Linked DNA regions of Rhinolophus ferrumequinum. Each later gene encodes a partner of the first gene's protein in a complex. Links are inferred from orthologs where the notes say so. Each region holds a gene or a part of one and is shown on either strand. Other genes may lie near its edges. The genes, in order: GTF2E2, GTF2E1, GTF2F1 and POLR2J.

What was found.
Region 2: the proteins of GTF2E2 (region 1) and GTF2E1 are in contact, whole or in part, in a crystal structure (PDB 5GPY), measured with the Homo sapiens proteins. The link is inferred for Rhinolophus ferrumequinum from reciprocal best matches to the Homo sapiens genes GTF2E2 and GTF2E1. Residues at the interface, in NP_002086.1 of Homo sapiens: Asp159, Gln160, Arg161, Gly162, Leu163, Gly164, Gly165, Leu167, Leu190, Val192, Asn193, Arg194, Pro195, Ile200, Phe202, Cys208, Gln209, Phe210, Ser211, Val212, Asp213, Glu215, Phe216, Gln217, Leu219, Trp220, Arg221, Val223, Thr224, Val225; in NP_005504.2 of Homo sapiens: Arg16, Lys19, Tyr20, Val21, Arg23, Gly24, Phe25, Tyr26, Ile28, Glu29, Leu32, Arg39, Leu51, Leu52, Lys53, Phe54, Asp55, Gln58, Gly68, Asp69, Lys70, Phe71, Lys73, Thr98, Asn101, Val102, Val103, Lys104, Tyr105, Lys106.
Region 3: GTF2E2 (region 1) and GTF2F1 share a complex: the UniProt entries of both Homo sapiens proteins name them as parts of the TBP-based Pol II pre-initiation complex. The link is inferred for Rhinolophus ferrumequinum from reciprocal best matches to the Homo sapiens genes GTF2E2 and GTF2F1.
Region 4: GTF2E2 (region 1) and POLR2J share a complex: the UniProt entries of both Homo sapiens proteins name them as parts of the TBP-based Pol II pre-initiation complex. The link is inferred for Rhinolophus ferrumequinum from reciprocal best matches to the Homo sapiens genes GTF2E2 and POLR2J.

Annotation. Positions count from the first base shown.
Region 1 is NC_046287.1:67,078,077-67,085,590, reverse strand, and holds the start of GTF2E2 (transcription initiation factor IIE subunit beta), read right to left. Parts: upstream 3,002-7,514; 5' UTR 2,736-3,001; intron 1-2,735. UniProt on the Homo sapiens protein: Recruits TFIIH to the initiation complex and stimulates the RNA polymerase II C-terminal domain kinase and DNA-dependent ATPase activities of TFIIH. Both TFIIH and TFIIE are required for promoter clearance by RNA polymerase.
Region 2 is NC_046285.1:46,086,467-46,093,872, reverse strand, and holds the start of GTF2E1 (general transcription factor IIE subunit 1), read right to left. Parts: upstream 3,003-7,406; 5' UTR 2,874-3,002; intron 2,865-2,873; exon of another isoform or gene 2,516-2,864; intron 2,493-2,515; exon of another isoform or gene 1,211-2,492; intron 1,171-1,210; exon of another isoform or gene 199-1,170; intron 1-198. Other genes in the region: RABL3 (rab-like protein 3), read left to right, coding at 3,160-3,205.
Region 3 is NC_046301.1:57,926,571-57,934,484, reverse strand, and holds the start of GTF2F1 (general transcription factor IIF subunit 1), read right to left. Parts: upstream 3,003-7,914; 5' UTR 2,808-3,002; exon of another isoform or gene 2,729-2,807; 5' UTR 2,571-2,728; coding exon 2,559-2,570; intron 2,478-2,558; coding exon 2,431-2,477; intron 1,936-2,430; exon of another isoform or gene 1,847-1,935; coding exon 1,774-1,846; intron 1-1,773. Other genes in the region: adenylate kinase isoenzyme 1, read left to right, coding at 3,242-3,413, 4,573-4,772, 5,396-5,509. UniProt on the Homo sapiens protein: TFIIF is a general transcription initiation factor that binds to RNA polymerase II and helps to recruit it to the initiation complex in collaboration with TFIIB. It promotes transcription elongation.
Region 4 is NC_046290.1:92,243,690-92,251,373, reverse strand, and holds the start of POLR2J (DNA-directed RNA polymerase II subunit RPB11-a), read left to right. Parts: upstream 1-4,672; 5' UTR 4,673-4,769; coding exon 4,770-4,822; intron 4,823-5,996; coding exon 5,997-6,086; intron 6,087-7,151; coding exon 7,152-7,326; intron 7,327-7,684. Other genes in the region: RASA4B (ras GTPase-activating protein 4B), read left to right, coding at 1-44, 207-328. UniProt on the Homo sapiens protein: Core component of RNA polymerase II (Pol II), a DNA-dependent RNA polymerase which synthesizes mRNA precursors and many functional non-coding RNAs using the four ribonucleoside triphosphates as substrates.

The DNA.
Region 1 (7,514 bases):
ATAACGAGATATTTTAGATTGATTACATGTTAATGTGATAATATTTTGGATATACTGGATTAAATACAACTAATTTCCCCTTTTTAACTTTTTAAAACACTATGGCCAGTAGAAAATTTTAAATTACACATGTGGCTCACACCTGCAGCTCACATTGTATCTCTACAATGCTGCTTAGAAACATCAGAACTACTGGGTAGAAATTAGGAGGCAGATTTAGGCTCATTGCAAAAAAAAAAAAAAAGAGAGAGACAGAACCATCAGAATTGCTTATAAATGAAAGGTGTATCTTAAAACTGGTGAACTCTCCAACATTATGTGATGAAGAGGCTGGATTAATATTTGGTAGAAATATCTACAGAAAATTCCTGATTTGGAGCGAGGTGGGACTAAACCTCTTCATGTTTTTTCTCAGTTCTAAAACTCTAAAATTGTGAGACACTTCAATACAACCAGGGAAGCCACAGATCATTCAACAAGTATTTTAAAACATTCCTCTCTTGTCTGAATCCTCTCAAGAATCCTATAGAGAGACTCTAGGAAGCATACAAGCTGACTATGCAAATGATTCGTGCACTGTTGAGACCAGTGTTCATAAGTCGGGAAGGAAGGTCCCAGAGGAAAAACACTATCTTACACTTTCAAAACCTTCAAGCACCGGGGTAGTTCAATAAATATTTGTTAAGTGAATAATGAACAGGGAAACATCTTTAAATTGCTCTAACTTCGTTGTTACTGCTTTCATGAGTCTTTATTAAATGTCTTCTGTTTGTGAGTCACTGTACTCCAAGCTTTGAAAGGTTCTAGAAGATAAATCCATGCTTTCAAGAAGTTTACATTTGAGAACATGAAAGCATTGAGCACCTCACTTAAAAAAATGAATGTGATTTAGCATGCTAAAAGTTAAAAATATAAGCACTGATAATAAATAATCAGAGTAAACCAGTTAAGTAAGAAAGGAAGAGTCACTGGCACTGGACCTCAAATCAAAGACGTTCTCCCTCTCAGTTCTAATCCCCAACAGTAACATGACCCTGGGCGATTCATAAACTCAGTTTTATTGTAAGTCAAATGAGGATACTACCAACGCTGTCTACATCTAGCCCAATTGTAAGAATAAAACGAGAAAGCGATTTTTCAAATAGTAAAACTATACAAATGTTATTTCAGTATTACTATTTTATTGGATCTGAAAAGAAATGAACAGAATGATTATACTGGGGTAAGGAAGATAGGAGACAGTCTTGGGGAGAGGGGCAGCGAGGGACAAGAGAATTCACAAGTGATACGGTGGGGGGCGACTAGCCCAAAACAGGAAACACCTGTTTATTTCACCTTGTAAAGACAAGGTAATTAACCCAGGCTTTTAATCATGATTTTAACATAACACATAAATAAAAGCCTTCCAGTTTACAAAGATCTAAATGCTTACAGCATTTGATCCTCACATCTCCAGTAGAAAATAGGTTATCTGTTTTATTTCTATTTTAATATGTGAAATCTGAAGTGAAGAGGTATGATTAGGGTCACACAGCAAGAAGTACTTGGACCAAATATCCTAACTCTAAAACACTCGAGGTCACGTTTTATTTATTCATTGCTTTTAAAGGAAGTGCTGGATGCTTTCATGTTCTCAAATGTAAGCTGCTTGAAGGCAAGGATTTATTTTCCAGAGCCTTTTAAAGCTTGAAGGCCTTTTCCAGCATTTCAGGTGTGGAGTAAGGAACACGTACTTGATTTAGGAGTCAGGATATTTGGATCCTGGTCCAGGTACTTTGGTTTAGAGATCTTCCTACTCCATGCTGGTCAAGGCGTCTAAAACCCAGGACAGGTAGGGGTAATGTTCAACGGCACCCAGAGCAGGCGGCTTCATGTCTACCTTTCACCATCGCATGTTCCGCCTAACTTTCCCTTCCTATTGTTAGAAGGCGACCGTACTCAGTATTTGTAGTTTTACATGCACTGACTAGTGTGGTAGACAGGACACATCACCCTGCCCTTGTACATTAAACAAACATCACAACTCAGGGAGTTCATGTGCCCACGTGTCACGGATGGACACTGAGAAGCAAAAATTAAGCCACAGTCTTCCGGCTCCAAAGCCCACGTTCTTCCCACCGTCTCATCCTACGGTACTTCTTTCAACCCTTCTACTTTCTTTTGCTTCTGTCCCTAACTAAGCCTCAGAGGTGCCACTGGCGAACAGCCGGCAAGGTAAGAAAAGAGACTGCTTACATCTTAAGTGACAGAATGCAAAGGTGGGAGAAAAATGTGCCACAGCGTTTTGTTTTGGAAAACGTCTTTGGACTTTACAGAAAACAATTATAACTAAAGTTTAGGAATCATTACAAACCAGGTCGCCACAAGGCAGCTTTAAAAAATAGTCCGTGAACGAGCCTCTAAATCACAGCCTTTTAGTCGGCTGGACATCGGTGGGTCCCCAAACTCCACACACATGGTTCGCTCGGCCACTGCCAAGGTAAACTTGGGGGCTACGAAGAGGCACCAGCAGCCACCCGACTGCGAATTTCCCTTTACAACCCAAAAGTTTGCTGAAAAAACCTCCGGCCTAAAAGACAATGCTCCCAACAAGTTGTTACTGTATTCCGCGTAGTAAACGGCACCCAGCCTCCCGAGGGGTGGAAGACACTCTCGCCCCTCGGGAGGAGGCGGTCTCCCCCGAGGAACAACAGGCCGGAGCTCCGCGCCCCTCACCCGGCGGCCGCAGCCCCTACCTGAGCGAGGTGGGCCGCCCCACGCGACCCGCCGCCGCCTCCCTGCGCCTCCGCCTCCGCCTCCGCCAGCCGCTGACGCCCGCTGGCCGCCGCTTTCTGCTCCTACTCAGCGCCCCCGTCTGCCCGCACGCACGCCCAGCGCCGCCCCGCCAGCTCCGGATCTCCGCACTGGCGGTAGCAGCGGCGGCTGCGGCCGCACCACTGACGACTCGGCCGGGTGCCCCGCCCGCCGCTTCCTGAACTAGCTAAGAGCTCAGTCCCGGCAGCCAACGGGGCATCTTCACAGCCTAGAACGCGCGTGCGTCATCACGCCCCCAGTTAGGGGTACCGCGGGAGGAACGGCAGCCAGCTAGGGCGTTCCGGATCTCCATAACAACGGGAGCAGGGCTGGGGGCGGGGTGGAGAACGGGACTTAGTAGGTGGGAGGCTGTTAGCAGCAGCTAAGATGGAAATCTTTCCTTTGCGGAAATTTAAAGCTACGAGAGCCTCCTCCAGCGTGCTCGGGAATCTCTTTAACCCACAGGGCGACGCAATTTTTCAAGTTATTGTCTACTAGGTATTTTGTGACTTTACCACAATTTTAACTTCCGAGAACATTCTTCTAGCTCTATTACAAATGAGGAAACAAGAGGCCCAGGGAAACGACTCAATGACTTGCTCAAAACAGCACAACTAGCAAAGGCAAATCCTGACGTGAAGCCCAGTTTCTGAACTCCAAACCGCAACACCTGTGAATAGTCTTAGAAAACGATTTCGGATTCAGAAGCAACAGAAAGGGGTAGGAATAAAGCAACGAGCGGTACCGTATATTGCCTTGTATAATGCGCACTTTTGGCTCAAATTTGAAGGAAAAATAAGGATGCGCGTTATACATGGGTAGTACTAATTCCATATTTATATCAACGTTCATTTATTTATGCTTATGAGTTAAAGGTGTAATTCTAGAAATCAATAACCACATCCGCATGCAAAATAGTACCCTGGAATACGATAATCGGTTTTGTTGAACTTATGACAACTTGCAAGGATAGAGTTCTTGGCCTTCTATGATGGGTAAATATTAGTTTGTACCGGTACATAAAATTTCTTATTGCTTGTATCTGTTCTTCTGTTTTGTAATTATTCCACAAAATTTCTTGTACCATGTTAAAAAAATAAATGCTGAAATTCCTTTATAATACGAAAAACAAGTACCTAAATGTAAACTAATAAAATTTTGAATTAAAAAAATTATAATGAGTTTTCCCTGAAAGTTTGGGCCAAAACCGTGGGTGCTCATTATACATGGCAAAATACGGTAATGGGCCTTGCCCAGTCTACAATGTATTGGAGTGTCAGATTTCTGCGATGTCCTTCCCTCACTTTTATAACCCAAAGCAGCAGTATAGCCTGTGCTCAGCTATTCTGTAGCTGTCTTTTAATTACTTAGTACTAGTTACTCAGGTTACTTAACCTGTGTTGGTTTTCTCATCAAGGAATAACTGTACTACAATGGGTTACTTGCATTAGACTGTTACAAAGATTAAATGAGATGACACATAAATTTTTATTCAAAACTTGGAAATAAAGCCAAAAGAGATTGTGCGACTTAAAAATTGTTTCATTCTAGAGGATTTTGTAATAAACTCACTTGATGTTCATGTAATACCGTCAGGAAATGTAACTTTGAGTAACAATTTAGTAGGGCCCAGAGGTTTTACAACCCAGTAAAGCCAGATATGAACTGGTAAAAAAACTGATGAGGTGTAATGGTGAGAAGGAGCAGACATCAAGTACAAAAATTAATCCCAAAGGTTAAAATTGCATTGTGCTGAGAAACATGAGCCAGTATTATATGAATTTATTAATTTTTATTTCATTGTTTCTTTACCTAGTGATTATATAAATTCCAGTTTTTCATATCCTTGTGGAAACGATTCTATCATTCTTCTGGTTACTTTACAATGAGTAAGAGACCTAATATACGAGGTGTGATCAAACAATACAGTGAATGTTTAAATTATTACAGTAAAAGATACATTGCCATTAATCCTCCTCAAAATATTCCATATCGCTTCAAACACACTTTGTCTCATCGTTCTTGCCACTTTCTGAAGCAGTTCTTGAAGTCCTCTTTCGTGTCTTTAGTTGCACTGTCGTGGCTGCTTTGATGTCCGGAATCATTTTGACTTTGGGGAAGAGCCAGAAGTCCCACGGTGCCAGATCTGGTGAATAAGGTAGATGGCGACACACCGTAATGTTTTTATTCAGAAATTGCCGTATATCAGAAGTGATGTGTGACACACAGCATTGTCATGGTGAAGGATGATTTAGGGCACACTTTAAAACACACCTTCTCTCAACCATAGCTCACACACCTGACTGCACCAAACAAGTCGAAACTTGTCGCACACTGTTACTAAGGTTTTACTTGCCACTTCTCATATTGAAGATCCCTGCCTTTCCGTTGGATGGCACTCGGCAGCAGCATTCACTATATTTTATGATCACAACAAAAAGGCTCTGTGTCACACATCGCTTCTGGTACAGTCATTTCTGTCAAATAAAAACTTTACAGTGTATCCTCATCCACCTTATTCACTGGATCTGGCACCGTGCGACTTCTGGCTCTTCCCCAAAGTCAAAATGACCATGAAAGGTAAATGTTTTGTATCAATTCTGGACATCGAGGCAGCCATGACAGTGCAACTAATGACACTCATTAAAGAGGACTTCCAGGACTGCTTCAGAAAGTGGCGAGAATGATGGGATGTGTTCAAAGCGAGTGGGAGTTATTTGAGGGGGATTAATGGCAATGTGTCTTTTACTGTGATCATTTTTTTTAATTTAAACATTCACTGTATTGTTTGATCATACCTTGTAGACACCACCTGGGCAGCCTCTAGCCAGAGCTTAGGGAAGGCATTGGATAAATATCCCACCTTAAGCTGTGAGACATAACTCTTTATAGGGATACGGCTACTTGTATGATATACACAGTCTCCACCACTGATGCTTAAACAAACCTTTATTATAATTTAACCACCTACATATTGGCATCTTTAGTATTTCAGGTCAGAAGGGTGTGGCTAGTGTCAAATTATATGAAGAATGATTCAAGCTACTAATGCAATAGCAATTATGTCTCATCTCATGAATGCTTATAATGCCCTGCATACTTTTTAGTAGAAAGCGTGGTGGCTTTTTGAGGGAAATATGTTTTCTATATTTTATAAAACATTCTTCTCTCATGACCAATCCAAACCCTCCCACCCAAAATACACAACTCAGTATAACCACAGGATTAATTCCAATACAGTGGATATTTTTCTACTATTTTATTTGTGGTAAAATCTATATAACATAATAAGATACAATTTATCATTTCAACCATTTTAAAGTGTACAACTTGGTGGCATTAGATTAATATTATGTAACCATCATCCCTATTCCCAAAATTTTTCATCATCCCAAACAGAAACTCTGTAACCATTAAGCAATAATTCCCCATTCCTTCCTCCCCACAGCCTCCTGTAACTTCTAATCTACTTTCTATCTCTACGACTTTGCCCTACTTCTAAATATTTTATTTAAGTGGAATAATACGATATTTGTCTTTTTGTGTCTGGCTTATTTCACTTGCAATGTTTTGAAGGTTCATCCATGTTGTAGCGTGTATCAGAACTTTTCTTTTTTATGTAGTGGCTTAATTTTATATTTTAATTTTTTTACATTACATAATTGTTTGGAAGAGGAAAACTGAGATAAAGTAAATAAATTTACTTCATTCTGCCATCAAGTAATAACTGCCTTTCAACTCTCCTCACCTCACAATCCATCTCAACGAACTAGATATGTAAATTCTCAAAACAGCTGACAAAGCAATTAGCCCACATCCACACAAACCAAGAGCTAAAATAAGTACTTTGCTCATCACCTGTCCTGGATTTCTCTAGCATTGATAGTGTTTCCTCCTTTGGAGTCTTTCCCCCTACTTTCTAATGCAGCCTGCCCCTCCTGAAACAATCTCCCTAGGACCCTGCTTCCTCTCTAGCATTCATCCCATAAGGGAGGAAAGAATTCTTTTTGAGAAAAACAAGTTATTAGCATGTGCACTGCACCTAGACATGAGAGTACCCAGTTATGGATAACTCAGAGGGATAGTTAGAATTTGGACTTATATAGTAGTATCTTAACAAAAGAACAGTAAATTTTTAAACAAATGCCAAGACCTTTTCTCCTAAACTCCAGCTTTTAAACTTCCAGATCCCTAGTGGGGCCACAAACTCAACATGTCCTAAACTTTGCACCTGCCCCCTTTAAACCAGTTTCTCTGCCTGTCTTGTCTCTTTCTATTAATGGTATTATCTTTCCACCAGTCCCTCAGGCTGGAAACTTCAGGGCTAGTTTTGACTCCTCTCTTACCCTCAAGTCCTAAGTTCAATCAGTGCACAAATTCTGTTGACTCTTTCATTGCCCATTTTCTTACACATGTCCCTTTCCATCCCCACTGCAATCACCCTAATGCAGGTCCTTCATTACCTCACACAAAGATAATCTCAGCCTCATTTCTGATTCCCCCATCCTACTCTTGATTTTTTTGCTATTTTCACTTTAATCTTCCAATCCCACCTTGACATTTTCCTCCTTGAACAATCTTCAACGTTTAACAATCAACAATTCCATGTTGCTAATATCTTCTCATCCATTTATCATCAAGACCCTCTCCAAACAGCACACATTTTCTAGTGTCATCTTCCACTTATCCCAGTCATTCTATTCAACGGTATTGGGCACTGC
Region 2 (7,406 bases), on another chromosome or scaffold:
AACATATGGCTTCAGAAATACCCAACAGATCAAAGAATGGCAGACAAACGTCAAAATAACCTATTTTTCCAGTATTATTTCCTACTATTGCATTCCCCTCCCTGACCTCCCATTGTATACACTCCATCTTCCGGAACCAATGGTTTTCAACTCTGGCTGTTAAGGATTATCATCTGGGGAGAATTTAAAAGTACTCACCTGGGCCCCATTCCCAGAGATTCTGTTTCAGCTGGTCTGGGAGGGTCAGATTAGGCATCATCTTATTTTAAAAGCTGTTTAGGTGACTCTACTAGAAAAAGTCCCGACCCCTGCTCCAGACTAATCTGATACCTGGCTATAGCATGTCCTGCCAATGTACACAGCATGGGAAGAACCCTGCGCCATTTACTCAGCCTGTTTCCTTTGCCTGAAACACCTTAGGGAGTCCTGAAGATTTGAGCCAGGGAGTGACATGAGGTTTCTGCAGTCCAATAGTTTTGGATTGTGAATCCCAGTTCCCCCATTTCTTAGCCAGCCTGTGACCCTGGAAAATCCTCAGTCTCAGTTTCCTCATATGTGAAAAGTGATTAACAGTGCCTTCCTCATAGAATTGATGTGTGGATTAAATGAGATAATTCATGTATAGTATGCTGCTTTCAAGGCTAACATCATAAGAGTTCCATTAAGTACTGGCATTCATAATAAGAGCCCCTATGCAGAAAAGTGACAATAATACGAGGAATGGCCTGAGGTAAGTGAAGATGGAGGATTAAGGAAGGACTAGGAGCTGTTATAATCAAACCTGAACTAAGAAAGACAGCAAAAAAATTTCAGGAATGAAACTTATTACAGAAACAAAATCAAAATGAGGATCTAGTAATATACTGGAAATGGAGTAAGAGGGAAGAAAAATTTTAAATATTTGCTTTTTAATAATAGTTTTATTGTGGTTAACTACACATAAAATTTACCAATTAACCATTTTAAGCATACGGTTCAGTGATATTATACATTCATATTACTGTGTAACTATCACCGCCATCCATCTCCATATATTTCATCTTATAAAACTGAAACACTATACCATCAAACAATATTTTATTAAACAATAACATATAGCTATTTGTTTTAAGCCAGTGTAACTAGGAAAACTACTACTATGAAAAATAGGTTAACGCCTGAATAGGAACAGGTTTGGAAGGAATTGAGGGATTCACTTTTAGTTGCCTACTTTGAGGAAATACCATGGAATAGTCCTGTGAAGATGTCCATCCAGTAGGTAGCTGCACAAATGAAATTGAAGCTCAGGAAAGAAGTCATCTTGTTCAAAATCTCTACATTGTAAAATCCTCCCTGACCAATACCTTCTCTCTTCCATCACTTGTACTTCCCCACATATGCTAAACCTCCTACTCAATCTCTGGATTCCTTAAATTACTTAGGTCAGAGGTCTCTAACTGGCAGCCTCTGCTATACTGTCTGACCCAAAGACTGTTGAAAATTTTCTGAATCAGTCGTCAACATTTTAAAATAGTGGGATCTCACATAAATCTCAATTTTCAGCTCCTCTTGAAAATTGGAACTATCTGAGGAAAAGTGAGACCATGTTCCCACATGGAAACGATAACTTGCAGCTGAAAAGCAGCTGTCACTTGGCTAGCCTCTAGAAAGTTTTAAGTGCGTGACCTCTTAGGGGAAGCCTTTTTTCCATCTTTAGCCTGAGGTTCAGTCACCTCGCAGTCTTACATACCTCCCTACCCAGCACAGACCCCCAAAGACAAGTTGCTTTTGTTTTTAAATCATATATATTCTAATCATACAATCACTGAAGAACTACTGTGTACCAAGCACAGTTGCAGAAACAAAATTTAAATGAATGCATTCTCTGTCTACCCTTGTCAGCGTCATCTCAATTCCACGTGCCACACACGCCTTCCCCACTTTCGGCCTTTGCACATGCTGTTCTCTCTGCCTAAACTTTCTTCTCCTAATAATCCTCCACAGCTCAAGTGACAGTTCCTCAAAGAGACCTTCCCAGATACGCCTTAGTAGCTTAGTATTAACCCCTTTCACAAGTTCCCATAGCTCTTTCCCAACCTTCTTCGTTACAGTGAATAACCTTGTAATTCTCCGATTATTTCTGAGACCAGGAACTCAATCTTGTTCACCACTGACTTTCCAGCATCCAGCACAGCTAGTCAAATTACTTCCATAAAACTTTCAATAGATGTCCTAAGCACGCGTTCTTCCAACATGCCCACCCGGACAGCTTCCCCCCAATTTACTTCCTCCACTGCTGCTTCCAGAGTTAGAAAAAGCTACTGGAAACCCTCTTCTTAAACTTTAAATGGTTTTAAGCAGCAGGTAACAGGATCAAATTCGCAATTTTAAGAGATTATGCTGACTGCAGAGTGTAAAATAAAAGGAGAAAGGATAGGATGGGGGGGGTAGGTCCAGTTAGATTTTTTTCAGCATACTACTACTCCAGTTGTGGAATAACTTGGATCCTACACATTTAAATGGTTTTCTCAGTTACCATATTGCATGGTACTCTCCACGCCTTCAAATATACAGCTGCATACCACCGCGAACTCTGGACCCAGCGGCCCTCCACGAGCCGGGTTCAATAACGTGCGCTCCTCCCCACTGCGAGACCCCACATTTCCTCGGACTCTGCCAGCTGAGTCCAGGGGCCACACTCGGCGCAGCCAAGCCCGTCCTACCCGAGGTCGCACACGGGACGCTCCGGGGTCAATGGTTCTTTGGAGGACCAAGTCAAGAGAGTAGCTAAGGGGAGGAGGGTGGCTAAGGGCCAGGAGCGAAAAGGAAGAGAAACCCTGAAATGCGACTCCGGGCCAGGGAACCGAGAACAAGAAACAGGGAACAAGGTTTACCAAAGCGAATCCTCGAACACTCCCACTACAGCTTCCCTCAGCGCCTCAACTACCGGCTTAAACGTGTCACGCCACTCGAGCGACAAAGAAAACGCTTTATTCCTGCGACCAGCTTTGGAAACCACCCGCTTCTTTTAACCAGGCCGGCCAATCAGCACAGTGAAGCCTTCAATCAAGATGGTCATTCTCTGATTGGTCAATGAAATTGAGGGCTCGGCCCTCCATGCCCAGCTCTGATTGGCCTACAACCCGGAACTGGTATTAACCCCAGGAAGGCAATGGCAAGATGGCGTCCCTGGATCGGGTGAAAGTACTGGTGTTGGGAGACTCAGGTGAGCTGCTTAACCCACCTCTGGGGCTCCCGACACTTTTGAGTTATCCGATAACTACTACTCCCCTTCCCCCCCGCCCCGCAAACTAACTGACTCCGATCCGTGGCTGAAATCCCTCCCAAGGCGTAATGACTACACTTCCCAGAGGACTTTGCTCTGTTTGACGGAGCGGTGGCGTCGCGCGGATGGGGGTCGTGGAGTCCCGGCCCTTCTCGGCCTTCGCGTCTTTCAACGTCAATCTCCTGGGCGATCGTAGCCTAGTGTATATTGTCAGTTCCTTTTATTTAAAAGATATGCAGACATTGAGCATTGTATTGGGCGCCGGGCTAAGACAGAAGTTAGGACTGTGCCTTCAAGAGTTTGTTTATTAAGGAAGTCAAACGTGCACTTAAAAAAAAAAAAGACTCTTCTAAGTGCTTTGCATATATTAACTCACTTAATCCCGAGATCAACCCTATCACACCATTTCACAGATGACAAAAAGTGAAGCAGAGAGATATAAATGACAGAACCGGTTTGAACCCAGAGGCCACGTACTTAAACACTAAACTATATTATGAAATGAAATATCGAGTGGTAGTCCTGTTTTACTCTCTACTGGGCTTCTTGATTTCTTTGTTCTCTTTGATGTTAATTGAAAACCTGTTAGGTGCTAGATTGTAAGAAATAGAGACATTAAGGTAAGGGCCATATTATGTAGTAGCTAGGACTTAATGCTGAGCCCAGTTTTGTCCTAATGTTAAAATTCTTCTTTTGACACCTTGGACATTTGAGAACTAGAATTGAATTCTGCATTCCCTCTTCTCACCTTACTATCCTTTCTCACCATAGCCTCCACTCCTGTGCTCCTTTAGAACTTGGAATAAATGCTAACCTTTCAGTTCATAGATGTGCTTTTCTGGAGTTGACCTTTGAAAGTGTGTTGTGAGCAAAGACATTGTGCCAGATGCTTAGAGATAGAGAGCACTTACCCCAGAGCTTGAAAACTACCTTTACGGCACTAAAGAACATTGTCTGATTGAGGAGGAGGTTGAGAACATTTTCACATTGCCCAAAGATTATTTACATTACAAAATATTTTACAGAAAGCATTATTTAAAATTCTCGTTAAGTTGCATTATGAAATTCTATGAATAAAATACAGTTCTCTAGCTTGAAGTGGTGCTGAAGTTAATTTAATAAAATCACTCAGTTTTACAGTTGAAGAAAGTAATAGTGTAGACGTCTAAAGGGATTTGGTAAGAGTATCACCAAGTAGGACTTAGAACTGGAATACAGAGCTAACACATCATATTTGAAGTGGATGTTCTCTCTTTTTTATAATTCCCTTTTCTGTTGCCTCTAATAATCCTTTCTTTCATGTTACATATTATTGGAACTAGTCAATTTTTTTTTTTCTAAAACTTAAGTGGCTACTACATAGCCGGCACTGTTTTAGGTGCTGGGGTTATAACTGTGGAATCAATGTGTTACATATCAGAGTTGAATTGACTGCTGCATTAAATGTGGAAAAGTGATCAGGCAATTAATAAGCTTTTTTTTTCATTATAATTTAGTTGTAAAAGAGAAGACACAGCCATATCCATCGGAAAGTGATTGATCTTGTCACACATTCACTAATGTTAGATTATGTGTACAAAGTCAATTGCCTTTTTATCAGTTCTCTTTTAACAGTGATTTGCTATCTGCCAGGTTAGAATATACTTTTTACACTTCGTCTGCCTTTGTATTCAAACTTCAAAGTTTACCTTTGAACAAAGACTTATTTCCCTCATGAAATCTTAAGGATTTCACAAATATATAAAAGAATGACTTGGGATTTAGAGATTTGTCTTGTATCCCATAGAGATATTTGATAATTCAGTAAGGAATCCTGAAAGTCTCACTAAAATGCATGTACCAACTTCTCTTTGTTCCTTCAGCGATAATGGATGAGCTTAGTACATTACCAACAACTATATTTGGAGTAGTATTTATGTAATTATATTGGGCCTTTTACCCCCCAGCAAATCAATGCATTTTTAAATCTATTATAATTTAGTTCTAATGGTGAAAATAGAATCAGAACCTCCCACAATTCTTAAAGAAATGAATAGTTAACCATTATTTCTGTTACTTCAATTTTTCTTACTGTTTCGAGTTCATCCAGTGTTAACTAACTCTTACCACTCAAAGCAGTTAATTCATGGAGAGTTATACAATGTTACTGCATGAAGATGCTTACTCTGACACAGTTAAGCTTAACTAGAAGCTCAAGCCTTGCACCAGGCTGATAACTAAATGCCTGGATATATACCTCCAATATACATAAACAAACTTACATGCAAACACAAAAGTCAACAATATGCCCTAAAGATCACAGAGGTAATGTAATAAATACAGAGACAAAACTATGTTTGTGTACACAAAAATCTTAAATGTCTGTTTCCAAAAAAAATAAATAAATAAAAAATAAAAGGGAAATCTGGGGAAATATTAGGTTGGTGCAAAAGTAATTGCAGTTTACAAGATTGAAAATAATTGCAAAAACCGCAATTACTTTTGCACCAACCCAATTACATGAGACCGCTAATACATAAAGAGGCCATGTAAATTGATAACACTAAAACCCAGTAGATAAGTAGATAGATAATTCGTAAGAGAGGAAAGATAACTGATTAGCAAAGATGATCATAATGTGTATCTTTACCAAGGGGTAAAGAAATGCAGACTAAAGCAAGATGTCACTTTTTTTCCTCTTATCAAATTAATAAAGATGAAAAAAACAAATAGATGATATTGTTGAGATGCAACAAGACCTTGCTGTTTATAGAGTTCATCCAGTGATGCAGGCTGATGGCAGAGTAACCAGATGAAAGTTGTCAGTATATATCAAGAACTTTAAATGTTTATTTCCTTTTACATATTAATTTCACTTCTGGGAAGGTATACTATGGAAATAATTTTAATTTTAAACAAGTTTAAACAGAAATATTTTCTTAGCATAGTGAAAATTTCGGAACCCCTTAAGTATTGAATAATGAGGGAATGGTTAAATTGGAGACATTTAACATGTTTAGGAAGATTCTGTAATAACATGGAAAATTTTAGTCACTAAATAAATACTAATTAAGGCCCTATTCTGAGTACTAGAAATTTAAAAAAAAAAAAAAGATGAGTAAAACCCAGTGCCAATCGTCAAGAAAATTAAAACTAAACAGAGTGAATAAAACCTATAAACTAGTGTAATAATCTATTTTAAGTGTTCTATAGAAAAATGTAGAAAGTACAGTGGAGACCCTGAGGATGGTGGATGATGTGCTTAGTTCTACCTGTGTGGAGTCAGAAAAGATTTTATAACTAGAGTGATGCTGAGTCTTGACAGATTAATTCAGCAGGCCAATGGAGGAGAAATGGAGGAGGGGGATGGGTAGAATATTCCAGACAGAACCAGCTGTGAAAACAAAAGCTTATGTTTTATTATTTTTTAAGTACACTGTATATATTCACAATAACAACCTGCTTATAGAAAAACCCTGCTTATGAATAAGTATGGATAATGCCAGGTGAGTACTAAGCTAGTCAGGGAAATCATTTCTTCAATTATATAAATGTCTAACCACTATGCTGTACATTTGAAATTAATATAAAATAATATTGAATATCAACTGTAATTGAAAAATTTTTAAAGGGGAGAAAAGAGGAAGGAGAATAAGAGGTCCAGATTTTCAGGTATAAAACAAATAAGTCATGGGGATGTAATGTACAGCATGAGGAATATAGTCAATAATATCGTGATAGCTTAGTATAGTGTCAGATGGTTGCTGGATTTATCAGAGTGATTACTTCGTTAGGTATATAAATGTTGAATAACTGTGGTGTACACCTGAAACTAATATAATATTGTATGTTAGCTATATTTTTAATAAAAATATTTTTAAAAACAAATAATATAAACAGGAAAAAAGAAAAACCGTGCTTATGGAATTAAATAAACCTTTATGTTGACAATAGTGCTCGTCAGGTGATTTTTCCCTTTTTTAAAAATACTTTCTGGATTGTCTGTAAATGTAACTTTATAATAAAAAGTAAACGTAAGTGATAAGGAGGAGAGTTCTCTTTTTCCAAAGGGTAAAGCTAGGCCATGTGGTTAGCTTCCTTTTAAAAATCACTGTCTGAGAGAATTGGGGTATCTAAATATGGAACTGTGAAATGGTGAGTC
Region 3 (7,914 bases), on another chromosome or scaffold:
ACCCCCAAGAACACCCTATACGCCCCCCCAGACTGAGCTGCAGATACTCCAAGCCAACTTCCTGCTTGGCAAACAGGGGGAGAAAGTTGGCACTCAGTGAATGTGAGTGAAGGGATTCAGGCAAGCCTTTCTTATACTACGTCTATTTTTGCAGCTTTTGAAAGTTTGAAATTATTTCCAAGTAAGTTAAAAAAAACAACAAGTGGGGCTGGCCCGGTGGCTCAGGCGGTTAGAGCTCCATGCTCCTAACTCCAAAGGCTGCCGGTTCGATTCCCACATGGGCCAGTGGGCTCTCAACCACAAGGTTGCCAGTTCAATTCCTCGAGTCCCACAAGGGATGGTGGGCAGCACCCCCTGCAACTAAGATTGAACACGGCATGCTGAGCTGAGCTGCCGCTGAGCTCCTGAATAGCTCAGTTGGTTGGAGTACATCCTCTCAACCACAAGGTTGCTGGTTCGACTCCTGCAGGGGACGATGGGCTGCGCCCCCTGCAACTAGCAACGGCAACTGGACCTGGAGCTGAGCTGCACCCTCCACGGCTAAGACTTACAGGGCAACAACTTGACTTGGGAAAAAGTCCTGGAGGTACACACTGTTCCCCAATAAAGTCCTGTTCCCCTTCCCCAATAAAAAAAATCTTTAAAAAAAAAATTTTGTTTAAAAAACAACAACAAGTAAAACCATTGTGGTTGGTCAGGAAAAACAACCTGCTTGGAACTGGCCCTCTTCTCTCTGCATTCGATTCTGGACCGCCCCGTGAATTCAGATGCCATTAAAGGCTGAGGTTTTCCAAATTTCGATCTCTGGGCAATTTAGCAGTAGAAATTATTTTGAAATGCATGTCTATAATTCTGCCCTGGCGCTCACCCCTCCATATCCAATCCATCAACAAACGCTGTTGGCTCCACTTCCAAAACACACCATCATTCAATCGCTTCTCTTCTTGTTTGCCTCGAGACCATCATCGCTCACCATGACCAGAGCTATCGCCTCAACCCTGCTTCATCTGCCTCAACCCCACAGAGATCACTTTACAACACCCTGTTTCAAACCCTTAGTGGTTTTTGCTGCAGACCGAAAGTTTGTGTGTCTCCGCCACAAAATGCATACGTTGAAACCTAACTCTCAAGTGGGATGGTATGTAAGGGTGGGGCCTTTGGGAGGTGACTAGGTCATGAGGGTGGAGACCTGGTGAATTAGATGAGTGTCCTTAAAAAAAAAAAAAAAAGACCCCAGAGTTCTCTCGCCCCTTCTGAGAGGACGGTGAGCGAGAAGACTGCTGTCTATCAACCAGAAAGTGGGTTTCACCAGACACCGAATCTGCTGGGGCCTTGCTCTTGGACTTCCAGTCTCCAGAACTATGAGTAATAAATGTCTATTATTATTTATAAGCCACCCAGTCTATGGTGTTCTGTCAGAGCAGCCCCAATGGACTGAGACAGTTTCCAAAGCCCTTTCCAGAGCTTCTGACAACGGGGGCTCTGAGCTCATCTACAGGTTGTCTCCCCTTCCCTTGCCCAGATAAATCTAGGCCCAAAATGCCCATCAGTGGGCACAACCCCTAAATATTCTCCTTTCAGAAGGCCTCCTGCAGGGCCTAACAAATCTTATTCAAAGTGATGCCCAGCAGCTCAGCCCGGGCCCTATTCATCATTTTTCGGCACTGGGGGAGTGCTGAGAAAACTAAGCCTTAGATACTATTACAACTAAGCAACTATTATAACCACCGAGTCCAGGATCAAGTTCTAACCCCTTTTGGAACAGGGACTTACTTGATTCCAAGTAGCGAAGTTGACTTTATCGGCTGCATTGAAGGCCATGATGTTGTATTTTTTGGTTGTATTTCTGGAATGGGCAAGAAGAGGCAGTGCTCAATCAATCCATCCAACAAACTCTCCCCAGTTCAGCCCTTCATGCCAGGCAATGATGGGAGCCTTTAATACACCCCAAAGGTTCCCAGTCAGTCAGCGGAGCCAGATCCATACTCCCAATCCCATATAGAAGAGACAACGATTTAGGGGAACCCGAGATGTGGGGATAATTTGGAACTCAGCCCTGGAGAGAAGAAGGGAGGGCAAGCAGGGAATGCTTCCTGGAGGAGGAAAATACTGGAACTGGATTTTTGGGATCAACAAGAATGCAGCAGCATTGTCAGCTGGGAAAAAGGTATTCCTGGCAGAGGAAATACTAGGCCAGGGGCTGCATCCTACTGCATATTAACGCACTAAGAATTCATTCATTCCTTCCATCACTCTGTTCAAAAAACAATGATGCCATAGATAGGCCTCAGCTCAAACCCAGCCCCGCCCTCAGGTCGCTGCCACTCAGGAGGTGGAATCACAAGCAGCGCCGGGAACGCCTAGAGGCTTGGGAAGGTTTTAATCCCTTTTTTGGGGGGTGGGGGGTGGGAGGTGGGATTTGGGACTTACTTGGGAACTCGAACGACATACTCAGTGATATTATGGCTGCCGGGGCCCTGCGGACAGAGAAAGCGAGAGGCCGAGTGAGGGGCTGCAGAAGCCGCCGCAGGGTCTCCTGAAACCCGCCACATACTTACGAAGGCCGCCATGGGCAAGGGTCAGCGGTTAGGGTCTGATCCGATCCGGGTCCTTTTCGTCTCTTCTAGGGTCCGCGACCCTCTGTCCGGGGGAAGTTGCCCTCGTGGTGTCGGGTCACTGGCCAGGATCGAGGACCCCAAGTCCGTGGTGCCACCGATCCAGGGAAAAGCTACCCGAAAGCGGCGCTCAGTCAGCTTTCCGCCTCAGCGGCCGCTGCTAACACGTCTGCGCCTGCGCCGCCGACTAACGTGAAAGCGAAACTCTCCCGCAGGCCGCGTCACGATGGCAACTTCCCCTCTGCCCCGGGCCCTTCAACGCGCTGTCACCTAGTTTCCCGGTCCCTTTCAGAGCGGCGAGGCAGTCCGCGTCTGAATTAAGTGCCCCCAGCGCGCGCACACCGGATGACCGCTTTACACAGGACGGCTAATCTAATCATGACATATGGGCACGCCCTCCCCGTGAGATCGTCACGCAAGGGCAGCGGGGCATCCTGGGAGCGGAGAAAACCTATCCACCCTCGCGGGCTCTCGGCGCCTTGCGCTTGCGCTGCTCCACTCCGGAAGTGAGTCCAAGGAGGCCGCGTCACCATAGCAACCGAGGCCTTCTCTGACGCGTTGAGACGCCGCGACTCCATCTGAACCTTTTTGGGGTTCATTTGCTCCCCCTGCTCCGCGGACACCCCATGATCTTGCTAAATGGTTGGGACAGGTGCCCTTGTGACGTTGAGCCGAGCCAGGAGAGATCAGGGCCTGAGCGGGGATGGGGCGCGACCACCCCACGGGTCGTTGGCAGGATGGGTCTGTTCAAGTCCAAGCTGCCCAAAACGGGCAGGCCCCTGAGACCCAAGGAGAAGGGTAATATCGCGGGATGGCTGGCTTACTGGGGGAAAGGGAAGGAGGCTGTGGAGGGCAAGAGGAAGGTACAAGTACCCCATCCCACTTGTCCAGGTGTGGCCCCCCCATAGTAGTAATACAACTGCGCATGCTCACAGATCAGCCATTCATTAATCGACTTGAGCGGTTGCTGTGCTGGATTCTGGGCACTCCATAGTGACTGTGCCAAACCAGCTCCCTGTCCCCTTGGAGATTACAGTATAGTGCAGGAGACGATCTCAGAAAACGGTGTCTACAATTCAGGAAATACTACAGGAAAAGCACAGCTGGCTCTAAGGGCTCAAGGAAGAGGGGAAATTTAAGCTGGGCCCAGCAGGATGCATACAAGTTGGCTAAGCAAAGGTGGAGGGAAGCAAGACACCAAAATTCCACCATAAACTACAGCACCCCGTAGACATGGCCGGTAGTCGTGGACACTCACTTAGTCCTCACCCTCTACTATATGTCAGGAACTGTAAATTACTAGAAATATAGAAATATAGGCACAAGTGAGACAGAAATAGTCCTTGTCCTCATGGAGTACAGTCTGGCAGGGAGACAAAGAAGAAAAAGTACACAAAGTCATTACTGATCGTGGCCTTTGCTGTGGAGGAAATTGGGTTCTGACACAGGGGATGATGATGGGTGAGCTGCAACCTGAAGGCACTGGGGCAGGGATTTCCTAGAAGTTAGGGAAAAGTTGAGGGGGGAATGAGCTTGGCAAGTTCAAGGGACAGAAAGGAGTCCAGGCCACCACTGGGGGCTGGACCGGAGTGAAGGAAGGGGAGGGTGGTATGGAATGCGTCTGGGGGATGGACCTGCCCCTGTCTGAGCCTCAGTTTCTTGAACTGTAAATTGGGATGTTAGAGTCATTGTGACACCTCCAGGAGATGCTGTGTACAAGGGCCTAGCCTGCTCAGGTTTACACCATCCACTGAACCCACAGCAGCACTAACGCATGCCATGCCTGGATACACCAATGGGCCAGGACACACTCTCAGATGCCACCCTAAGGCAAAAGTGGGTATGCCAGCAGGACTGTGTCCAGTATATGCACTAAGCTGTGGACACAATCGCATCAGTGCCCACTGACCCCTACCGGCACCAATGCGTCTCCCTCTTTCTTCCCTGGTCACCGCAGAGATGCTCAAGTCCCCCCTGATCATCTTTGTGATGGGTGGGCCAGGCTGTGGCAAAGGCACGCAGTGCAAGAACATGGCGACAAAGTATGGCTTCTGCCATGTGGGGCTGGGCCAGCTGCTGCGGCAGGAGGCCCAACGCGGTACCCGGCGGGGCCAGAAGATTCGTGAAATCATGCTACGGGGGCTCCTGGTGCCCACGGTGAGAGCTCATGGGTGCAGGGGTGGAGGGAAGAAGGGGCTACGTGGGGACGAACTTCCCGGAAAGGCCCTGTGGAAGCTGATGGGCCTGGAAGGCTGTGGCTCCCCTCCTTGCCACTGTTTGGCTGCCCTGAACCTCTGTGTCCCCATCTGTAAAATGGGAGAGCAGCTAGACCCACAGCAAGAGTCTGTGGTGAGCTTTGGATGACATCATTCCTATAAAACACTTGGCAGAGTTCCTGGTACTTATGAAGCACTCAATAAAATTAGCTAGTATTTTTTCCCTTTGTGACCCTGGGCACATATATCATTGGCTCCTCTGTACCTATTTCCTCACCCACAGAATAAGGTCACTCCAGTACCTACCTGTAAGGTGACTGTGATGAGCAAATGAGGCCCAGCCAGCCTGGCACACAGTAGATGCCTGTCCAGTAGACAGCCGCTGTACCTACTTCTTGTAAGAGCTTGTGGAGGCCCCAGGGCATTGGGCAGACTCGGAATCTTGGGTGGTGGGCAGGTGTTTCCCAAATTCATCAGAGGTCCAGACTGAGAAAGACAACTTGCCAAGGTGACCTCATAGGTGAGGGCCTATGGACAATGACCCATCACCCCTTTCCTTCCCAGGGTATCATCCTAGATATGATCAATGACAAAATGCTGTCCTGCCCAGAGAGCCGGGGCTTCCTCATCGATGGCTTCCCTCGGGAGCTGATTCAAGCTAAGGAATTCGAGCGCATTGTGAGTGACCCAAAACTGTGTGAGGGTGTTAGGGTGTAAGGCGTGGAGCTGTTCCCCCCTCCCTTCCTACGATGGAGATCAGAAGGGCTGAGACTCAGGGGAGAGGAGATGAACAGAGGGAAATGGAGTTTTGTATTATCAAGGAAGAGTCAGGTTGTTGGAAGCTTCTAGAACCCAGGTGAAGAGCTAGAGAGTTCTCTGAGGGCAAAGACAAAGTCATTTTAGTATTTCCCTGCACAGTGCCTGCCCACTGAGTAGCACGGGTGTTTAGCAGCATCTCTGGGCCATAAAAATGGAATATAATTCTTCGTCCATCTATTTATTCCCCAAATAGTCCATGAAGACAGACTCTGAACTCGGGCATTCGTGAGATAGGCTTGGTCCTTGCTCTTAGGATGCCAAAAAACAGAGAGATACATCATGTGTAAAACTAAACAGAAATTTCTCCTAGCGATAAGTGTAGTGAAGAACAGAAGACAGAATGACACCCTGGAGGGACACTACTTCAGTTTGGGTGGTTCAGATGGCCCCTTGAAGGGGGGATATTGGAGAGCTAGCTGAGAGATGAGGGAGGAGCCAGCCGGTGCTGGACAAGTTGGAATGAATTTCTTCAGGTTATTTTTACAGGTCAGCCACGCTGACTTTATGAAAAGGCGCATCCGGGCACCTGAACAGCAAGGACTGGAGCATTTGAAAATGGCTGAGCAGGAAAAGAGAAATTGAGGCAGGCTGTAGGCCTCCAGGTTTTTCTGGAACTTGCTAGATTCCAGAAGAAGAATCTAGCAAAAAAGACCAGGTGGGAATCAAACAAAGGTCACCCAGCTTGGGACAGCTGTCCCCTGTTGGGTGGGGCCCTGCCCTTTGTTCGCACCTCCATTGAAGCATTTCTGTGGGGCTCATTGTGACGAAGTCAAAGGGTAAGTGATGGGCTCCCTCTCCCGGCCTGGGAGCTCTGAGGGGAAAGGCTGGGCTAGTGGACTCCTCTGCCCTCGCCAGCCCTGGGCCAGTGCCTGCCCTAAAGTAAGCACCCAGTCATAAATGCCAGCTGAATGGACGCCACAAATGGCCACAAAGTCTCAGAACGGAGGCTACAAACTCCCAGCCCTCAGGCCCTATTCGATCCACCAATGTGTTCAGTTTTGTCTCTAGAGTGTTTGACCCTTTTTTTTAATTTTAAATGAGTGGCCCACTTTCAAAACTCGGGAGATGCCACATCAAAACTCCCAACTTCTCTTGATAATTGCCTGGGGCGGCCGGATGGCTCAGTTGGTTAGAGTGTGAGCTCTCAACAGCAAGGTTACCGGTTCAATTCCTACATGGGATGGTGGGCTGCACCCCCTGCAACTAAAGACTGAAAATGGGGACTGGACTTGGAGCCGAGCTACACCCTCCACAACTGGATTGAAAGACAAAGACTAGATTGAGGGACCGCGACTTGGAGCTGATGGGCCCTGAAGAAACACTGTTCCCCAATATTCCCCAATAAAAAAAAAAAAATTTAAAAATTGCCTGACTTGGCAACACAGGGCCTGAATGTCCCCATGGTAACAGCAACATGAACTCGTCCTGAGCTTGTTACTGAGCCCAGCACTGTTCTCCACACTCTGCATAGGTTAACTGTGATCTTCCAGAACATTCTAGAAGAACGGTTCTCGTACTGTTGGCATTCTGCTTTCTGACAGAGGGATTGGGGAACTTGCCTCGGGTCACACAATATAGGTAGTGGGGGCAGGACTGTTTGTTCAGACTCTAGCCTGCCCTTGGTGGGCAGCATATGTCAAATGAATACACAGGAAGCCCCGCAGGAGGTTTGGCCACCGTCTGCTCAAGGGACAGTGGGCAGAGCCAGGCAAAGCCTGTGGAGCTCCGATCATTGTAATCAGGTTGGACTAAAATGAACGCCCAGAGTTAGGAGGCCCATTTATCTGGGCCGATATTTCTCCCAAAGTGTCACCTGCAAACAATGATTTTAGGGGGCTCACGGAAGAACATTTACTATTTTTAAAACTTTTTTAGCCTTACAGGACATTGCCGGAATGGTAGAAAGGTCCTGTTGTATCCTTCACCCAGCTCCCCCCAAGGGCGCCGTCTTATTTGACCATCGTTCCATACCAAAACCAGGCTATTAGTATTCGTATGTATTTGTTTTACAGTTACGTCCACAGAAGTAACATTCACTCTCCTTTTGCCTTAGTGCTATCATTGCCTTAAAACAAAAAAGTTAAGTAAAAAAAGAAGTTTATGGAATTCAAAGTTTAAAATAACAGCGTTGGCAGTGAATCACCAATGAACGTTTATCCTGCACAGCCTCAGGCAAACTCAGAAGCGTCGTGGAGAGGCACCCACGTCACAGCCGCTGTCCTCACCAGGAGAGAGAAGGGTTTGTGGCATGTGTGGGTGCTCAC
Region 4 (7,684 bases), on another chromosome or scaffold:
TACCAGCACAGAGGCAGGCTCTGTGCCCACAGGCCCTGGCGAAGGTAGGTCCCTCCCATCTGGACTCTCAGGGTGGCCTGAGCCCCCTTCAGGGATGCTGTGTGTGGGGCTCCTGAGGGCCACTCCCAGGGGCCCTTTGGTCTTGGAGACAGGCACTGGCAGGCGAGGCCGTGCCTGCCTGACCCTCACTCTTCGTCTGCCTCCAGCCCTCGAGGACCCACTGGCCCAGATGCTGCAGGTTCTACAGGATCTCCAGGAGGCCCATAGCCGCAGCCCAGCCAGCTCTGAGCCCTTAGAGCCAAACTGCCTCCTGGAGCTACAGACGTGAGGTCTGTCCCACACTCTCTTGCCGAGCCCCCTGCCAGGTGCTTGGAGATCTCGGGTGCACTCTTGGTCCTTCACCTCAGTTCCTCTCATAGGGGTGCAGGACCCGAGTCTTTCCCGAGCTGGGGGAGTTTGGGAGGCCAGGGACCAGAGCGTCCAGACTTCAGGAACTGACAGGACTTGAGCCTGTCATTGCCCATGCAGAGTCTCTAGGGGACTCGGGCATCTGCTTCTCTGTGAGGCCTGGTTGCTCCCTGTGGGCCCTGCAGCCATCACCACCACTAGTCCAAACTCTCCAGGACCCTCCTCTCCTGCTCAGGATAGACCCAGCCAGAAACTATCCCTAGGAATGGCCGCACCAGGTGGACTGACACTTCCTGGGACTCAGAGAGGCGGGAGGGAACACAGGCCCCAGGAGACCAGGCCTGGACCTCAGCACCCACTTTACTCTCAGGCACCACCCTATCTGCTCCCTCACAGTGGCTGTGCCCTGGGAGAGCGTCACGGTGCTCTATTGCCAACAATAAACCTGATGTGACTGCGGCTCTGGGGTCTCGTGATGGGGGTCGGGAGGGAGTGGGCCCGGGAACCCCAAAGCCTGCTGGTGGTGGGGGGGGGGCACCAGCATAGTCTCTCTGCATCCCCGTCTCTTCTTTGCTTCCCCATCTCCCCTTTGCTTCCCCATCTCCCAGGGGGGCCTCCTTTCTCCTTCCAGCTGCTCTCCCCACCACGCCCCTGGTTCCCCTTCCTCCATCCCCCACAGGCTACAGAGCCTGACTTCGTTCACCAGCTGTTCTCTCCTTACAGCCCCCAGACAGGCCCTTTTTCCAAGTGTCCTGAAGACTGCACAGTGGGGGCGGGTTCAGAACCTGGAATCACGTGGCCTGGCCCTGGAAAGCGTCCCTTATGCCACCCTCCTTAGCAAAAGCAAGGCTCCTCTGCTTGTCACCTCCCTGTCCTCATCCCGCTCCATCTAGGTACACAGTAACCTCCAACATAATTAACAAGACTTGAGGGGCAGGGGCTTCCAGCACGTTCTTTGAATCTCATCCAACCAAGCTTCAAGCCTTGCCTGTGAATACTAGGCCTAGCACAGTTCCCAAGGGCCTGGGTCACAGGCAGGCCCCCTGACACAGCTGACCGGCCAGGTCCTGGGGCAGGGCCATCTGGGCTGGCTGCATAGTGGGTTCTTTGAGAGATGGCAGAGAAAGCAAAGGGGGCATGAAGGAACAAGGGGCTGCCCTCTTCCCTCTACCCTATGGCATTTGGGGCCATGGTGATCCTTTCTGGCCACAGCCTTGATGGGGGTACAGTGTCCTCCCATAAGCAGCCCACCAACCCCCGCCCCTTTATATGTTCATTGCCTCTTGGTCATGATGCCACCATCCTATGGACCTTACGAGCCTCTTTGCAGGGCTAGGTACCCCCCCACACACACACCTGCCTTCTTAACCCAGGGCTTGGGTCCAGCGCTGGATGAGCCCCTGGTTCTCTGGCTACTTCTTTAGAGTCACACAAATCCTTGTGCCTGTTGGATCTTCTTGGGTTTCAAGGACCTCAAAGGAAGTGTAGACCCCACTGTCTCCTGAGCCCTAGTTCAGGGAGTGAAGGGGAAAGAGGTGTGCACTTGTTGACTGCAACAAGTAGAATTCTGGATTTTAACAGCGCGCATACACCACCCACTGGCAACGCCCACCACCCTGTCCTCCAGTGGACACCGGTGTGGACGTGGCCACTGCAGCCAGAAGGGGAATTCAAATGAGTAAGGGCCTGGGACTGCCTCCATCGCTCATGTACCTCCACCCACAGAGTCGCCTCTCAGGCTCCGAGCCCCGGATGCCACATTGTTTTAGGAAGCCACCTGGGAAAAAAGGGACAGAGGAGATGCCTGCCTGCCCATGGCACAGGAAGGTGCCAGAGGTCACACCTACCTGCCCAGGGATTCTATACCAACACCCCCCACCCTGGGATTGCCAGGTCTGTTATTCACCCAGAGCCTGCGTCAAGTCCCCCAGATGTCTTAAGGGTCTGATTGGACCCTCCCACAGAGCCCTGCTGCCCAGGAGGCAGGCTGGCAGCGCAGGGCAGGCATCCTGGGAAACCCTGAGTGGGTCCAGCTCACATGGTACGTGCATCTTTCATCCTCTGGGCCTGTCCTGTAGGAAATCTGGGCAAATTCCCACCAACTTCCTTTTGGAAAAGTGTAATTCCTGCCAAAACGTAATTTTCAAGTACGTAAAAAGAAATAACTTACACAAATACAGAATAAACGTATCAGATATTTACACATCAAAGAGGAAATGAATGTTTGGTAAAGCTGGTTTGTAGAGCACTTTGAGAAGCTAGGTATTTGTAAGCATTTTGAGGAAAGAATGCTACAATAGGGCAGGCCCCGTCGCGGTGCAATTCCCACAGGGGCCAGTGAGCTGCGCCCTCTACAGCTAAGTTGTGAACAACAGCTCTTCCTGGAGCTGGGCTGCCGTGAGCGGCTGACCGATGACTGGCGACCGACTGCCTCAGCCGGGGTAGGGGGGTGGGGGGGCACAGGCTCATAACACCAGCATGGGCCAGGGAGCTGTGTCCTACACAACTAGACTGAGAAACAATGGCTTGAACTGGAATGGGGGGGGGAGGCAAAAGAGGGGGGAAAATAATACTAGAATAAATTGTGATGTTAAAAAACTGGGAAATGGAGTTTTCTTCTCTATGGGATACAAACCTACAAGTTCATAAATAACTTCAGTTTGATGATAAATAAAACATCAAAGTCAAACACAGGTCCATTCCCCAAGATTAGGGATTTTAAAGGCCCAGGCATGCAAGTTTTGGTCATAATTACTCTCAGAGCACAAAAGTAGCCATAGACAATGAGGAAACAAATGGGCTTGGCTTACTCCAACAAAACTTATTTACAAAAACTTGGCAGGCTTGATTTGGTTCACAAGCCCTCACCGTTTGACGATCTCTGCCATACATAAGTAAGCCTTGGTCAGGCCTGTTCAGCCACGCTCCAGTGTTACACTGACAGAACATGCCACACACACCCAATATTTATCATCACACGTCCAGCAGCCCCTTTCGCAGTGTGCCAGGCAGGCCTGTCTTACCAGAAGATAGGAACGGTCACTTGGCCTCCTCTTGGGGCACACCAAAATTGAGCCTCTGAAGGCTCGATTCGGGGAGGGCTGACATCTTCTGAAGCCCAGAATCTCGTGTTGGTCTGGGAATCAAAGGGTGAGTACGACCAGAACTCCCCAAGAGAGGACAGACTTCCACAGTGGAAAGAAGGGTGAAGCCTCTGCTGGGTAAAAGTCCTCTCCCCACCCTGTCCAGTTAAGGGCGGCCAGCCTCGGCACCTCCAGGCCCCTGCAGTCGTGGCAATGGTAGCATCCTTGGTCCAAACATTTCCAGGATGATCCAGGAGGGTAGGGGTGACAACCTTGGGACATCATTACCCTCATTGCCTTCTATTCTTCACCAGTTAAAGAGGCCTCCACCCACTTGACCTGGAGAGTCAAGGTTTCTGTAGATCTCCAGTGAATGAGGCTTCCTTACCCCAGGGCTCAAGGCTTAAGTAGGAAATGGCCCTTCCCAGGAAATGGTAGTAAAGTTCCAGATTTCCTTGGGGGCTCCTTGGCTGCTGCTCAGACCTAGGAAACAGCTGGGAAGCTGTTAGGGCTCCAGTAGCTGAGACTCCAGCCCCTGTTGCTCCAAACAGCTCAGGTAGGGCCTGTATACTAAGCTGTAGTCTGCAGGATATCAACCCAAACGGACGGTACACCTATCCCTCGCAGCGCCTCTCACACCTCTATACACCTGCCGTCTCCCTCAGCCCTCACCCAACTGTCTCCCTAATAAGCTCACTAGGACACAAGCCTACTTGGCAAGCCAGTGACAACACAGCCAGGGGCCTTGTAGCAATCTGCCCAGGCAGCCTTAGCAGGGGGCTTATCCGTACATAGCCGTCTGGCTTAAGGGATGGATACCCACGAGCCTGTGAGGTTTCTGTCAGCCCCACCAGACACACCTATCCACTGCCCCGTGGCTCCATTGTCCACTCGGGGACCTCTTGCTGTGCACTCCAAGGGCACATTTCCGAAGAGGGATCAAGGGACATAGGGAGAAGAGAGGTGGAGCCCAGGGCTGCCGCTTAGCCTGCACGAGGAAGTCAGTGCGCAGAGCAGCTCCCCGCTCTCCGAGCCTGCGCCACAGTGCGCTCCCAGGGGGGCGAACGCCACAAGGGACCTTCGCGGCTCACGCGTGCGCAGAGCCAGCAGCCGGCCCGGGCCCTCCGCGCGTTCTCCCGCCTGCGCGAGATCCCCCAGTCCAGTAGGGGGCGCCGAGCCGGGCCGTACACGTGTTCGGCCCCGTCGGCTAACCCGGAAGAAGTCGCGGGAAAGCGCCCTGGAGGTAGTGGAGAGTCTGCAGGACGCGGCGGCGCCAGGATGAACGCCCCTCCCGCCTTCGAGTCGTTCTTGCTGTTCGAAGGCGAGAAGAAGTAAGTGGGCAGGGGAGGGTCAGGCCTTCGACTGTCGGTCGTGGGCGTCTGCAGAGTCTGGGGCTTCGCCTGCTCTCCTGCGGGGCGGGCGGAAGCAGCTGTTGCTTGAGCTTCGGCGCGCAAAGCGCCCGGCGCCTGTGTCTGCCAGACTTCAGGTAGTCCTGCCAAGCGGTGGGGACTGTTGCCTTTGCAGCTGAGGAAACTGAGGCTCAGAGAGGTTACGTAATTCCCCGGCACAGGAAGTGGCGGGTCTGTGTTGGAACCCAGAATGGCTGCCTCCGAAATCCTTTTCCCCTGGGATTGGCAGCCCCCTCCTCGGCTCCTAGCTGACCACCTTTATTCTCCTTGCTGAAGCCAGAAAGAGATGGCTGTTAGACTCATGTGCAATCTCCATTCGCTTGTGTAAAACCTTCATTGCTTGCAGGCTGAAGGAAAATGTAGTCTGCTGGTCAGACAGCCTGGGCTTGGCGCCTGCTTCCCCCGCGTAAGGACCCTTGTTTGGGCAAGTGAATTAATCTGCCTGAGGCCCACTTTCATCATCTAGAAAACGGGCTTATTACTGTATTGAATTATGAGTAAACCTAAGGGGAGATTAAATGAGGTAACTTATGTGAAGTGCTTAGTCCAGGGCTCAGCATCTAGAAGACCCTCTTAAACATTGGCTTTTCATTCTCAACAGCCTGGTGTGCAGGGCTCTATGTTTAGCCCTTGCCAGCCACTTCAGCCTCCCTTGAGAGCAGTGCTTCTCAACTGGAGACTATTTTGCCCCCCCTCCCCGCCCCCCAGGACTTCTGGCTATGTCTGCAAACGTTTTTGGTTGTCATAAAGGGTGCGCTCCTGGCATCTAATGGGTAGAAGCCAGGAATCCTACAATGGACAGACAGCTCCCTACCAAAAAGAATTATCTGGCTTAAAATGGCAGTGGTGCCAAGGTGGAGAAACTGTGCTTTAGGAAGAAGGAGCAATCCGGAGGAGGTGAGGGTCCCACAGAATCGGCGTGACTGGGCTCAGAGTATACACTAACTGCTGCTCTGAGTCAGAGAGGCCTTTATGGGATGAAGAGATTGCGACAGGCTTCCAGGAGGTGGGACCCGAGCCTGCCTGGAAGGGCAGGCTTTAGACTCGGAGGAGGAGGGAGCCCCTGCCCCCATCTCTTGCCTCTGCGTCTTCCTAGGATCACGATTAACAAGGACACCAAGGTACCCAATGCCTGCTTGTTCACCATCAACAAAGAAGATCATACGCTAGGAAACATTATTAAATCGTAAGTTCCAAGTCCAAGGCTCTTGGGGGCTGTGTTGGATGGGACTCTGAGGCAAAGCACAAGTTCCAGAAGATTTTCTTAAGTCTCTTTGAGCTACAAGAAGTCCTTCTGATGGCTCGCTCTGGCAGTTCACTTTCCAGTACCTTTTCTTCAAAGGTACTGGAATCTGTTCACATAGCCACATTTCCTTTTGGCTCATTTATCTGACTGAAGTGAGTGAATGAATGTGCAGGAAGCCGCAAGTAGGCCTGCTTGTTTTTGTGCCTTTCTCAGGTTTGCGTGTTTAGGGTGTGGGCAGAAGCCTGCCTGGTGTCCTGGTGTAAGTAGGGGGTGGGGTTGCCCACCTGTCTGGATGACTCCTGCCTGAGCCAAGCCAGTGGGGCACTCAGGGTCTTTGGGGGCCTTGCTGCTCCTCTGCTGTGAGCTGTGTCCCTACCTTGCAAGGTGCTCACACTTGACACCTTGCTCTGCAGAAAACACCCGCGTGTCCAGCAAACAGCACAGGCTTCACCTCACCACCACCTCACAGAACAGCACCCCACGGGTGTGGGCAGCTGCCAGCCCCTTCCAAAGGACTTCGGTTTCCATTTTGCTAACTGCTCAGAGCTTGGGGCCTTCTCCCCCTGCTGCCTTTGTTTGCCGTGCCAGAGGCTCTTTTGGGGCTAGGAACGGGCCTTTTGTGTTTTGGTTTACTGAACATTGGCTGGATTTTTACTGCCTAGGGAGGTCTTTTTGGGGTCATTGCAGGGTCCCTGACTTCCCCTCGGGAAAGAAGTTACTGGAAAACCTGTTTATTAGCTAAGGTTCCTGATCCTGATGGATGTAGGGGTGTGTGTGGGAGGAATCACCATATGGTATATCTTCTCCAAAGTTAGCTTTTACTTGAAGACTTTTTTGGCGGGGGGCAGGGGGACAACTAAAAACCAAGTGTAGGGAACCACCTAGTGTCAGCCCCCAGCCACATCTGCAACAGGAAGACCCCTTGGCTAGGCCTGGTAAGCTCCAAGGGGCCAGAGCGCCAGGGGCACTCGGCTCAGCCTTGCTCACTGCTGACCCGTGTCGCAGGCAGCTGCTGAAGGACCCCCAGGTGCTGTTTGCTGGCTACAAAGTGCCCCACCCTCTGGAGCACAAAATCATCATCCGCGTGCAGACCACCCCGGACTACAGCCCCCAGGAGGCCTTCACCAATGCCATCACAGACCTCATCAGCGAGCTCTCCCTGCTGGAAGAGCGATTCCGGGTGAGGAGCTGGACGTGCAGGGGGAGAGGGGAGGTGGGAACGCCAGCCTGTGTGCCCAGAGCTGCAGGGCTGTCGTGCCCACACCTAGGACCACCCAGGGTTGTTTCCTCGGACTTGTGTGGGGGGAAGGGGTGATGACAGCAAGGACTTCCCCCACTGCTTCCCGGAAGTGTGGAGAAGGGGTTAGGAGTTGAGGCATGGCGCCTGCTGTCGGCGTCCGTGCGCAGGAACGGACCTAGTGCTCCAAGGTCTCCTTGTGCACTCTTGGGGTCCCTGCTGCCCCCTGCTGCTGCTCCTCCAAAGCTCTTCGCTGGTGCTGGCCGCTTCTAGGGCATCTGTCTAGGGGGCAGCTCATCCT